Macaca mulatta: one gene and its partners. The protein of the gene in region 1 purifies or fractionates together with the protein of each later gene. This does not show direct contact. Links are inferred from orthologs where the notes say so. Each region holds a gene or a part of one and is shown in the gene's direction. Other genes may lie near its edges.

Region 1 (4,382 bases):
ACGAGGTCAGGAGTTCAGGACCAGCTGGCCAAGATAGTGAAACCCCATCTCTACTAAAAATACAAAAAATTAGCCAGGCCTGGTGGCGGGCGCCTGTAGTCCCAGCTACTCGGGAGGTTGAGGCAGAGAATTGCTTGAACCCAGGAGGCAGAGCTTGCAGTGAGCCGAGATCATGCCACTGCACTCCAGTCTGGGTGACAGAGCGAGACTCCGTCTCAGAAAAAAAAACAAAAACAAACTTTTACAATTAGAAAGAAGCACACTGATTAATTTTGCCTATTACTAGAGGCTTGGGGGAGTGTGGTGATTTTGTTTTTTCGTTAATATTCTAAATTTTAAAAACCACAACATAGCCGGGCGCAGTGGCTCGCGCCTGTAATCCCAGCACTTTGGGAGGCTGAGGCAGGTGGATCACGAGGTCAGGAGATCAAGACCATCCTGGCTAACACGGTGAAACCCCGTCTCTACTAAAAAAAAAAAAAACAAAAAATTAGCTGGGCATGGTGGCGGGCGCCTGTAGTCCCAGCTACTCGGGAGGCTGAGGCAGGAAAATGGCATGAACCAGGGAGGCGGAGCTTCCAGTGAGCCAAAATCACGCCACTGCACTCCAGCCTGGGCAACAGAGGAGACTCCGTCTCAAAAAAAACACAACATAATTGAATGTTTACCATAATATGCCACCCACATTTCTATTCTTCACTCTCTATATTAGAGTTTTACACCTCCCTGACACAAGTATGTCTGGATAGCTGTTTCAGATAGAGAGCCTTGCCCGGGAGGCATCCACTGGAGTACTAAAAGACCTAATGCATGGCCTTATCACCTTAATGCTGGATTCTCGGATTGAAGATCTTGAGGAAGGACAACAGGTCATCCGCTCTGTGAACCTCTTGGTGGTGAAGGTTCTGGAGAAGTCGGACCAGACCAACATCCTAAGGTATATCTGTACTCTCAGTCAATAGAGCCTGGGGCATCCTCTCTTTTGTCTACGCTTAGAAACCATCATAGTCAACTCCCTAGGCAAGCTAACAATCATAAATCAACTTCCTAGCCACGCTTAAAGTTATAACTGATATAACTACATCAGTAGTTATAACTGATATAACTACATCAGTTATAACTTTAAGCGTGCCTAGGAAGTTGATTTATTACTCTTCATCGTGGACCAAAGGTATTTTAGCCTGAGACCATAGCTAAAACTAGTAAATACTTAGCCAGCCAATATCATGCATTTTCTAGAATAGGACTGTAAAGTTTGTCGGTTACATTTTTCTTGTACATTTCAGGTACCTTTTATTCTTTCTCAGCTACCAATGACAATGAAAAATAGAGTCACAAACCTTACACTTAGCAAGTGGTGACTTAAAAGGCTTAAACGATGTTTATTTTCTTAACTGAACATCAGGTAGTCCAAGACAATTCCTGATCCATGACCTCTCAATTTATTAGATGAATAGAGTGATCTCACTTGACCTTTCAACTACTGATTTTAATTGGAATGCAGGTTTGAAACTTAATGCTGTTGTGTTGGATTTTTCTTCCAGTGCCCTACTTGTTTTGCTCCAAGACAGCCTGCTAGCAACAGCCAGTTCTCCCAAATTCTCAGAGCTTGTTATGAAGGTGAAGTTTAAATGATTTGATCTCTTTTCTTTCAAAGATGCAATCACTTTGTTAAAAGTATGGGGAAAGAGGAATTGGAGCTAAGAAAGCCATAGGCTCATATCAACCAAGTCATACCTGAAAATATATTTTTCATAATAAAAATATTAATAAAATAATTTTTAAAAAATTTAGCCAGGTGCAGTGGCATGCACCTATAGTAACAGCTACTCAGGAGGCTGAGGTGAGGAGATTACTTGAACCCAGGAGCGAGCTTGATCATACCACTACACTCCAGCCTTGGCAACAGTGAGACCTAATCTCTAAAATATATATATGTTTATGGTTTTTATATATATATGTGTGTATTTTATATATATGTATATGTATTATATATGTATAAATTATGCATACACATACATACACACACACACATATATATATGAATTGGTCTTCAGTTTTTCCCTTCCTACAATTTATATTCTAAGTTCAGGCCTAAACAGTTCGTGGCCTCAAACAGTGAAAGGGAGGAGGTATTTTGTAAATATTTTACTAATTCTCTGAGGATCAAAAGGAAAGAAGTTTGAAACAGATTTCATTTATTTTGGGGAAAAAGATATGTATAGCCCTATGATATTTGGCCTCTTTTGTGAAAGAGACCAAATGAACATATTTATAACATTGTAATACTGTTATTACACTGAATTAGTATCAGATATTTTGTCCCCTTGCATTAGATTTGGTTAAGCAACATGAACTACTTTACTCTCAGGAACCAAGGAAACCCAAGAGAGAATTTCCACCAGGTTAAATGATGGCCCCTAGCTCTGGGGAGTGGGAAGGAGTGGAGATGGGTGATTAGATATGAATGAGTGGACACACTTCAGCTGGTGTCATGATAGAAGTGATTTAAAATTTTCATGTTTTAGCAGCTGAACTTGAAAGATATGATGTGCCACATTTATAGCCCTGGCCATCTTTTAGAAGTGAGCCCAGAGCTTAGGGAATATGAATGGTGACAAATTATCCTCATTCTTCAGTCACTCCTTCTAACTCTTTCATTCTTTTTTCAATAGTGTCTCTGGAGAATGGTTCGACTATTGCCTGATACCATCAATAGCATTAACCTAGACAGAATTCTTCTAGATATCCACATTTTCATGAAGGTCTTCCCCAAAGAGAAACTGAAGCAATGCAAAAGTGAATTTCCCATAAGGACCCTAAAGACCCTGCTACACACCTTATGCAAATTAAAAGGGCCCAAGGTGAGTAAGAATCGCAACTGGTCTCTGAGGGAGCTTGAGAGAAAATCATAGAAATGGCAATGCTATCAGTTGTGCATGTGTCTCCCTCAGATCCTGGACCACCTAACGATGATCGACAACAAAAACGAGTCTGAGCTGGAGGCCCATCTCTGCCGGATGATGAAGCACAGTATGGACCAGACTGGGAGCAAGTCTGATAAGGAAACAGAAAAGGGAGCATCTCGAATAGTGAGTGGCCTGACTTGAAAGATTGAGGGAAATGAGGCTATACCGGAAGTGATCTTATCTAAGGTGTAGGTCACCAGGATACCTTTTCCGAAGGTCCAAGGTGAAGGCTCACAGACTGGTCCAGTCAGTCTCCTGCTGTGGTGCAGTAACCATTTCCACCTTGAAATTTTAAAATCTAAACTAAATATAACCATGTGTTTTTTGGTCCCCAAGAAAGATGCCTAAGGCATTGGTCACCAGGTAAATAGCTAGCTCTACTCAACCTGGAAAGAATGTGTCAGTTCCTTCTCCATCAAGTTGAGGTGGAAATCTGAGACTGGAGGCACTCAGTAACCCAGAATGTTACTGCTTCTGCTGTAAGACCTGCATCATTGGTGCATCTGTTATCTGTAGGAACATACCAATAAGGCCCAGATTTTGAGATATTTTCTGTTCATATCCAACCATCAGTTCCTAATTAATAACTCAAGTCTAACCAATTCTTCCTTATGTCTTTCAACTTTTCAGGATGAAAAATCATCAAAGGCCAAAGTGAATGATTTCTTAGCTGAGATTTTTAAGAAGATTGGCTCTAAAGAAAACACTAAAGAGGTGAGAGTGAAAGGGTTAATCTGAATAGGGGTCTGCTTTATGGTAAAGGGACACTGACACTCATCTCCCCCTCTTCCCTCTTCCTGTTCACCAGGGGCTAGCAGAGTTATATGAATATAAGAAGAAATACTCAGATGCTGACATTGAACCATTTCTGAAAAATTCCTCACAGTTCTTCCAGAGCTATGTCGAAAGAGGCCTTCGGGTGATTGAGATGGAGAGGGAGGGCAAAGGTCGCATTTCCACTTCAACAGGTATGATTTCCTTTTATAGCTCCAGGAATAAGCTCAAAATAGCTCCTAGCTCAGGAACCTGAAGTTTTGGTTGGTTTAAATTCATATCCATGAACCTCAATACTTAATGGTCACCAAATGATCTTCCCATTGCTATATCCAGTAGTCAATTCTTAAGCCACCTGAATTGACCCATCATCAGTATTTCACAAAGGTAAATTGTTCCCTGCCCTTGAGACAGCTTCTTCACTTCACTTCCAGTTCTCCATGCTGTCTTGTTTTCCTCCAGTCTCACTGGCTATTCCTTCTTGGCCTTTGACTGATTCTTGCTCACTCACTCACCTCTTTTTTTTTTTTTTTTTTTTTTTTTTTTTTTTTTTTTTTTTTTTTGAGACGGAGTTTCGCTCTTGTTGCCCGGGCTGGAGTGCAATGGCGCAATCTCGGGTTCAAGCGATTATCCTGCCTC
Region 2 (4,382 bases), on another chromosome or scaffold:
AAAAAAAAAAAAAAAAAAAAAAAAGATTGAAGGAAGAAATAGTATTTTTAGTGTTAATTTTTTAAGTATGTGCATTTGATATCTTAGTCCTGCTGTTCTATTTATTTAATTGTATATGCATAGCACAGTTTTTTTTTTCTTTTTTTGACAGAAGTAGTCAGGTTGGCTTTTTTTTTTTTAAAGGATTTCCCATGTCTTGACCTTAAACTGGCTTCATAATAGTCGGCATTGCTTTAAAAAAAAAATCCAAACTTTGCAAAGGCTATTTAAACAACTTATTTCTTAGCTTTTTAAAAAAGTCATAGGTTGAGTGCAGTGTCTCACCCCTGTAATCCCAGCACTTCGAGAGGCCAAGATGGGAGGATCACTTGAGGCCAGGAGTTTGAGACCAGTCTGGGCAACATGGTAAGATCACATCTCTCCAAAATATATATATATATTTTTTCAAGACGAGTCTCACTCTGTAGCCCAGGCTGTAGTGCCGTGGCACGATCTCTGCTCACTGTAACCTCTGCCTGCTCACTGCAACCTCTGCCGCCCGAGTTCACGTGATTTTCCTGCCTCAGCCTCCCAAGTAGCACGCAACACCATGCCTGGCTAATTTTTGTATTTATTTTTTTTTAGTAGAGACAGGGTTTCACCATTTTGGCCAGGCTGGTCTCAAACTCCTGACCTCGAGTAATCCACCCACCTCAGCCTCCCAAAGTGCTGGGATTACAGGCGTGAGCCACCATGCCTGGCCCAAAGAATATTTTTTAAAATGAAAAGTAATACGTTTGTTACAGAAAAATGAGAAAACATAAGTATGCTTTTATATTCCATTTATTTTTAAAGGTCACTCAGGATTGATACAGCAAGTATCAAAGAATAAACTTTCCAACATGGTAGAAGTGAATTAAGCGGCCAATAATCTGTTTAGGAGTTACTTTTCCTGCGTTATTTTTGTTGTTTGGTGTGGCTCCGGTTTTATTTGCATACACAATTTAAGATAATAGAAACAATTTGTTGGGATTATTATATTTTTCTCCCACTACCATAAGAATATTTTTCATTTAAATTGAGATAGATAATGATTTAATTTTCTAATAGGAAAACTTTAGAAATGAAATGTTAACTTTTTCTCAGTTATTAAATTTGATTTTCCCCTTCTTATTAATGCAGCTCTCAAGAGGCAGAATTTATATAATAATCCTTTCAACTCTATGAGTTATACAAGTCCTTACAGTCCAAATGCCAGTAGCCCATACAGCAGTGGCTTCAATTCTCCATCCTCAACACCCGTGCGACCTCCTATAGTCAAACAGCTTATACTTCCTGGAAATTCAGGTAAGGAGAAAATGCTATGGAGCTATTAAGGACTGTTTTTTAGCTTACTGCACTGTATCAGAAAATAACATTCATCTGTAGTTCGAGTTCATTTTACTTATGAAACTTTTAACTGGCTAAAGAAAATATCATTGAGGAGCAACTTAGCACCAGGTACTATATCAGGCACACATAAGCCAGTGTGTAAAATACATAAAATTTTTTTTAGCATGTACCTAAAAGTTTTTAAGTCTGGCTTAATTAAATGGGTTACAAACATGACTCTTTTAATCAATAGATCCTTATTGAACAGCCTACCTGGGTTGTAAAAACTCCAGAGTTAAAACCTCTTTATAGGAATTTTAATAAATTTTGATACTGCAGCTAAATAATAGTATGAGGTTAGGGGTGAATGTACCAAAAGAGTGGGAGGGGCAGTAAATGATGTGGGAAGGCCAGATTTCTATAAACCAGGGAAAGAATGTTCTGCGCTGGTTCTTTGTGTGAGACTGTTACTGTGTAGCCTACTCTTCACGAATTCACCTATTCATTTACTCTTATTGTCGCTGAAGCTGTTGTTATAGCTGATTATTATAACTTCCTTAAAAATTAAGGTTAACCACCTCAAATTTTGACCTCTGCACTCCCTAGTCTAATGATCCTGCTCTTTGCTTAGTATATAGGTTGTTACTTGCTACTTACTTCACCTACGATGATACCATGTTAAAAAATTTAAGCTGCAATATTTGTTTAAAATAGGTAATTTCGTTCAGGCATTATTTGAGCCTGACCTTGTAGTACTTTTAATATCATGTGCACTCTGCTCTTCTTTCATTGATAGTATAAAGATTAATTATTTTGTACTCTTCTTGCTCTCCTTACATGCTTTTCATGTTGGAGCTGACTGTTATGGTGAAGAATAATGGAAAACAAGTGTTTCAGATAAATCTGTAATAGAAATATTAGTGGCAATGTTGGGATTTTATTATTTAGTAAAAGTTGGTGATCTGATGAAAATATTTCATTAGAAACAAGTTAGACTTTTTTTAGATGTGTGTATTCTTTATCTCTCTGGTCTGTTTTCTGTCTTGGTTTAGAATGATAAGTACTTTTTAAAAATCTAGTCTTTTTTTTTTTTCATCACATCTTTCGTGCTTCACTACTAAACTTCAGAGAAATCCTTAGATCCCCATTACTAATTTGGTAAAGAAGTTTTGTAAAACATGGCATAATGTAGGAGAAACAAGCCTCATGGTCTTTGTTCCTAAAATCTCTAAGGAATCTAATTTTATTCAAATTATAGTTTTCTCATTTAGAAAAATGAGGGAAAAGATGATGGTGTTTGTTAATGACTGTGAATTCGAGTGAAGAAAACACTACATCATAAACTCATCTATTTATAGAGCAGTTTCATTGGCTATCTTGTGCAAGTTGAAATCCTTAACATATAGTTATTGAACACCAATTACTTTGTGTTGAAAGCTGAATTGTTACATAAGAGAATAGATAAGTTATACTTAGATGAAAATATGTTTATGCCATAGCATATAAAGGAGTCTCAGTAGCCCTCATTTTTCTTAATGAAGTCAATTTCTAATTTCAGGGAATTTTTTAAGCAGAAAAGGCAGAACAAGAATGAATTAAAAGATATAATATCAAGTTAGTTACAGTAGGCATTTATTCAATCGTTGCTTTACCAAAGTTTGAATTTTTTTTCTTTTTTTTAAGGTAACTTGAAAAGCTCAGACAGAAATCCTCCACTCAGTCCTCAGTCCTCTATAGATAGTGAGTTAAGTGCTTCAGAATTAGATGAAGATTCAATTGGATCCAATTATAAGCTAAATGATGTAACCGATGTACAGATTCTAGCCCGGATGCAGGAAGAAAGTAAGTATTCTAATTTTTAAGAGTTGAGGTTTTTTACTATTGCATAATTTTGTTGTATATTGAATATGTCTTAAAGTGTTGTGAGGATACTAATGTAGTGAAAGTAGAAATGTTGCAGTAGACATTTCAGAGGCTTAGTCGACATATGTACATGTTTATTCATCAACTTGTTTTCAGAGTCCATTTTTTCATAGAGCAGTTATGCTGTGTGAGGGACAAAGAATAGTATTTATGCTGCTCTGCTTCTATGACTGGTTTTCATACCCTGCATGTTACTCTGCACTGGCACTTACTCTTGTAATTGTTATCTGTTACCCTTTGTGTTTTTAGTGTAAACCAGCGTTTCTCAATTTTTTTCTTTTTAGTTGCTCCCCTAAGGAGCCTTGTTAAAAACTGTTTTTCCTTTTCACCCACAGTCCCCATGAAATCTTAATACCACAAGATATACTAAGTACCATGAGGGCAATATACGATTATGACATCTAGGAATTTTTTCACACCCCAAGAACCAATTTTTGCCCTCTTGGGAGTAAATATCTCCTCACTTGAGAATACATGGTGTAAACTATAAAAAAGACCGTTAGGAGAACATTGGACTTGTGACATTAAATTAAATGAAGCATGCGATGGTGCTTTGCAGAGTGAACCATGAAAACTTTTTAGGCCACAGATACCTTTGAGAATCCTATAAAAATTATAACTCCTTTTATCACCAAAATGTACATATGCACAAAATTTTTAATACTTTTTGAAGGGTTCATGGCTGCTTGCCCTGGTACTCATCTGAAGGTAGTTATTCTTGCCAATGCATTTCATTAGAAGATGCCATCTGCATAACTATGAAGTAAGAAATCTCTCTGAAGTAATTTCTTTAACCTTTACGGTGAAAAGAATCCTTGAAATACATATTTTGACAAGTCTTGACAGTTGGCTGAGGGTAATGGAGCATTGCTACGGTTTAGTTCAAAAACGTTCTGTTGTCTGTATATATAATAGGTTCTCTTTAAATATGTGGCAAGCTTTATCAAGCTGTAGCATTTATTAAGAAACTAAAGTGTTTCTTATTCTGCTGATTCACTTCCCATTTCCATACAGCTACCCCTAGGAAGATAGGAGGACTTAGTGCTTGCTTTATTTAGCCCTACAACCTAATAGCAGAGTACTCTTTTCTTCTGTAATTTTAATTAACT
Region 3 (4,382 bases), on another chromosome or scaffold:
ACTTTGGGATGCTGAGGTGGGTGGATCACCTAAGGTCGGGAGTTCTAGACCAGCCTGGTCAACATGGTGAAAACTTGTCTTTACTAAAAATACAAAGCAAAATTAGCCGGGCATGGTGGCGGGCACCTGTAGTCCCAGCTACTTGGGAAGCTGAGGCAGGAGAATCGCTTGAACCCCAGAGGCAGAGGTTGCAGTGAGCCGAGATCATGCCATTGCACTCCAGCCTTGGCAACAGAGCAAAAATTCATCTCAAAAAATAAATAAATAAATAAAAATAAAGGAAGCAGTGGGAAATTGAGGAGCCCAGTCTACCAGGTGGGAGAGGTGCCTCTAAGCTGCTTTCTCTGGCATCAGCTTGAGGCATTTGGGTGTGGTGTCCCACATCTGACCCCCCAGGCAGCAGCCTGTGCTGCATCCTTGCTGTGGTGCCTGGGTGCAGACTTTGTGCATGATGACGAGTGCTGTTTGGGTGGCAGAGGCTGCTGGAGAACTCTGGGTCCAGCACTTGCCAAAGTGCATGATGAGCACAATTAAACAGGCAAGCAGCCCACAGGCACCCCTGCAAGTTGGAACCCCATGCATAGCCAACCCCAAGAAATGGGGCGGAGGCGGGGGTCAGCGAGGACGTCACGTGGCTGTGTCCATCTGTTCCACAGGGAGTTGGTCCCTGGGAGGACAGGAAGGAACCACATTGAGGAACTAGGGTGGGGGGTGGAGAATGGGAAGCTGTGCCAAGGGTGACTCAGCCCTGCTTCTGGTGTGAGAGAGTTAAACCTGTGTTGAGAATGGATGCCGAGGCCACCTAACCTCACAAGTACTCACTGCTTCACGTTGACTAAGTCTGTTTTAAAAGCCAACAGCTCATCAAGGAAGTGGATGCCAAAACTACTCATGGAATTCTACAGAAACCAGTGGAGGCTGACGCCAACCTCCTGGGGGATGCAAGCCCAGCCTTTGGGAGTGGCAGCGCCAGCGAGCCTGGCCCGGGTGCCCTGGCTGACCTGGACTGCTCAAGTTCTTCCCAGAGCCCAGGAAGTTCTGAGAACCAAATGGTGTCTCCAGAAAAAGTGTCTGGCAGCCCTGAACAAGCCTTGGAGGAAAATATTAGTTCCTATTCCTTAGACAGAAAAATGACACCCACCTTTGAGACCCTAGAAGACCCTTCCAGGACAGAGTCCCAGCACAAAGCAGAGACTCCACACAGAGCCAAGGAAGAATGCCGGCATGGTGGGGTCTCTGCTCCCACAGCAGGGGCCACTTCGCCTCCTAGTGTGATCCCTGAGGAAGCCTGTGGAGGAGCACCCCTGGGGGGTCTGCCTGGTGAGGCCCTGGCCTGCCCTGTGGGTATGGGCACCCCCGTGCCAGCAGATGACACTCAGGCCCTTCCCTGTGCACACACTTCTTGTCCTGAGAGCACAGCCCCGACCAGCCACCTGGTGACTGGCAGGGCCATGACCCTGAGTCTTCAGGAAGAAGCAGCTGTGGACCAAATGGCCAGCTCCTCGAGGAGCGGACCCATAAAACTAGAATTTGATTTATCTGATGGTGCCACCAGCAAAAGGGCAGCCCCACCAAGGAGACTGGGAGAGAGATCTGGCCTCAAGCCTCCCTTGAGGAGAGCAGCAGCGAGGCAGCAAAAGGCCCTGCGGGAGGTGGAGGAGGACCCCCCCATGCCGGCTTCTCGGGGCTCTTACCACCTCGACTGGGACAAACTGGATGACCCAAACTTCAACCCATTCAGAGGTGACACCCTGTCTGGTCACAGAGAGGCCCAGCCCCCAGAAAGCCCTGAGACCAGGCTGGGCCGGCCAGCGTCTGAACAGCTGAGTGCTGGGCCTGCCACGGAGGAGCCAGGCACGTGTCTGAGCCAGTAAGTATGGGGATGGGGTGGGGAGTGTGGTGTGGGGCAGCTGCCCCGCAGTGTGTGTGTGGTCAAGGACCCAGAGGTGTCATCAGATACTCCTTTGAGGGCCGGGCGCGGTGGCTCAAGCCTGTAATCCCAGCAGTTTGGGAGGCCGAGACGGGCGGATCACGAGGTCGGGAGATCGAGACCATCCTGGCTAACATGGTGAAACCCCGTCTCTTCTAAAAAATACAAAAAAAAACTAGCCGGGCGAGGTGGCGGGCGCCTGTAGTCCCAGCTACTCGGGAGGCTGAGGCAGGAGAATGGCGTAAACCCGGGAGGCGGAGCTTGCAGTGAGCTGAGATGCGGCCACTGCACTCCAGCCTGGGCGGCAGAGCGAGACTCCGTCTCAAAAAAAAAAAAAAAAAGATACTCCTTTGAGGCCGGGTGGGCTCCCCTTGAGAAGGGGCCTCTGGGCAAAAACAGGGCTCAGGTGGATCCCAGCTGAGGGTTCTTGGCCTTGCCTTGGCGCCATGCATCTCTTTAGTGCTCCCAGCCTAAGGAGGGATCCAATAAGGGTGGGCTTAGGCCAGAAGCCAAATGCGGCCAACCTTGGGCAGGACCCTGTCCCCCAGTCATGTCCCTCCTCAGGTGAACTTGACTTGGGCATGTAACTCCAAAAGCCAGGCAAAGCCTGTTACTGCCTGGGGTGGCGTCTACTGCTTGCTGGAGTCTTGGCCGTAGGTCTGCTGCCTCCTGGCTGAATGGTCTTAGGCTGCATCCCCTAGAGTTGCTCAGTGGGAGATTGTCCTGCCTGTAGGGTCCAACCCTACTGGGTCTGTGGGTTTTTTCTCCTCATGTGCGGAGACGAGAGATCATAGAAATAAAGACACAAGGAAAAGAGATAGAAGAAAAGACAGCTGGGCCCGGGGGATCACTACCACCAAGGCATGGAGACTGTAATGGCCCCGAATGCCTGGCTGAGCTGTTATTTATTGGATACAAGGCAAGGGGACAGGGTAAGGAATGTGAGCCATCTCCAGTGATAGGTAACGTCACGTGAGTCACGTGTCCACCAGGCCTTTCCCTGTTTGGCAGCCGAGTTGGGGAGAGAGAGAGGACAGCTTAACGCCATTATTTCTTCTATGCATTTCAAAGACTTTAGTACTTTCACTAATTCTGCTACTGTTCTCTAGAAGCTCTAGAAGGCGTACAGAGCAGAACGTGAAAGTGAAACAGGAGCATGACCACTGAAGCACAGCATCACAGGGAGGACGAGGCCTCCGGATGGCTGTGGACAGGCTTGACTCATGTCAGGCCTTTCATAATAGGTGGTGGAGCAGAGTCTTCTCTAACTCCCCCAGGGAAAGGGAGACTCCCTTTCTCAGTCTGCTAAGTAACAGGTGCCTTCCCCGGGCACTGACGCTACCGCTAGACCAAGGAGCCCTCTAGTGGCCATGTCCGGGCGTGACAGAGGCTCACACTCTTGTCTTCTGGTCTCTTCTCACCGTGTCCCTTCAGCTCCTACCTCTGTATGGCCTGGTTTGTCCTAGGTTATAATTGTAGAACAGAGATTATTATAACATTGGAATAAAGAGTACTGCTACAAACTAATGGTTAATGATATTCATATATAATCGTATCTATCATCTATTTCTAGCATAACTTCTTATTTTATCTATTTATTATACTGGAACAGCTTGTGCCCTCAGTCTCTTGCCTTGGCACCTCGGGTGGCTTGCTGCCCACACCTGCCCCAGCCTCCACACCTGAAGCCTTTTGTCAGTTTCACAGTGAAAGGGATGTGCTCATCCTTGTGGTTCCCTTGGGCTGCGTTGTGCTGACTTTAGGGCTCGCAGCCTGCTTCCTCCAGAGCTGGCAGGCAGGTTGTGTGTTTTCCTGCTGGGTGAGGTTGGTGAGGCTGCTCTGTGGCCAGGTCGCTTGGGGCAGCCGCATGCCTGGTGCACTCTAGCTGAGTGTTCATGTAGCCGGCACAGCAGTACAGGGAAAGGCAGTGGCAGCTCGGTGCTGGAGCAGGGGACGCCGGGGTTATGGGGTGTGGGGCATGGACCTTTTGCTGACTCTGTCTCCCCAGGCAGCTGCATTCAGCCTCAGCGGAGGACACACCTGTGGTGCAGCTGACAGCTGAGACCCCAAGAGCAGAGAGCAAGGTAAGGGGTGCCTGTGTGGGTGCCTGTGCTCCTGGCCTGGTTGTGTAGAAGAGTAGCAGGCAGTGGAAGCCCCCAGCGATCTTGGGTGATGGGGTGGGATGTCCCGCTCCCTCTCCCCCAAGTCTACTTCGACAAGGTTGTGGGGAGGCAAAGCTACACCCCAAGTACCTTGACTGCACTGCACAGGGTGACTCTGCCCGTTCCTCCAGGAGGGAGCCTTGAACTCTGCCAGCATCTCGCTTCCCACAAGCTGTCCGGGCAGTGAGCCAGTGCCCACCCATCAGCAGGGGCAGCCTGCCTTCGAGCTGAAAGAGGAGAGCTTCAGAGACCCCGCTGAGGGTATGTTGCCTGGCACAGACGTCACACGC

What was found. Proteins that work in one complex are often made in the same cells at the same time.
Region 2: the proteins of CKAP5 (region 1) and SLAIN2 purify together in Homo sapiens (affinity purification with mass spectrometry; 4 studies listed by BioGRID and IntAct, counting the BioPlex papers as one, with this or other methods). This does not show direct contact. The link is inferred for Macaca mulatta from reciprocal best matches to the Homo sapiens genes CKAP5 and SLAIN2.
Region 3: the proteins of CKAP5 (region 1) and TACC3 purify together in Homo sapiens (co-immunoprecipitation; 5 studies listed by BioGRID and IntAct, with this or other methods). This does not show direct contact. The link is inferred for Macaca mulatta from reciprocal best matches to the Homo sapiens genes CKAP5 and TACC3.

Annotation. Positions count from the first base shown.
Region 1 is NC_133419.1:18,845,666-18,850,047, forward strand, and holds part of CKAP5 (cytoskeleton-associated protein 5), read left to right. Parts: intron 1-749; coding exon 750-937; intron 938-1,544; coding exon 1,545-1,620; intron 1,621-2,675; coding exon 2,676-2,864; intron 2,865-2,933; coding exon 2,934-3,092; intron 3,093-3,599; coding exon 3,600-3,683; intron 3,684-3,777; coding exon 3,778-3,937; intron 3,938-4,382. UniProt on the Homo sapiens protein: Binds to the plus end of microtubules and regulates microtubule dynamics and microtubule organization. Acts as a processive microtubule polymerase. Promotes cytoplasmic microtubule nucleation and elongation. Plays a major role in organizing spindle poles.
Region 2 is NC_133410.1:47,883,127-47,887,508, forward strand, and holds part of SLAIN2 (SLAIN motif-containing protein 2), read left to right. Parts: intron 1-1,161; coding exon 1,162-1,326; intron 1,327-3,033; coding exon 3,034-3,192; intron 3,193-4,382.
Region 3 is NC_133410.1:1,844,860-1,849,241, forward strand, and holds part of TACC3 (transforming acidic coiled-coil-containing protein 3), read left to right. Parts: intron 1-853; coding exon 854-1,870; intron 1,871-3,938; coding exon 3,939-4,014; intron 4,015-4,223; coding exon 4,224-4,353; intron 4,354-4,382. UniProt on the Homo sapiens protein: Plays a role in the microtubule-dependent coupling of the nucleus and the centrosome. Involved in the processes that regulate centrosome-mediated interkinetic nuclear migration (INM) of neural progenitors.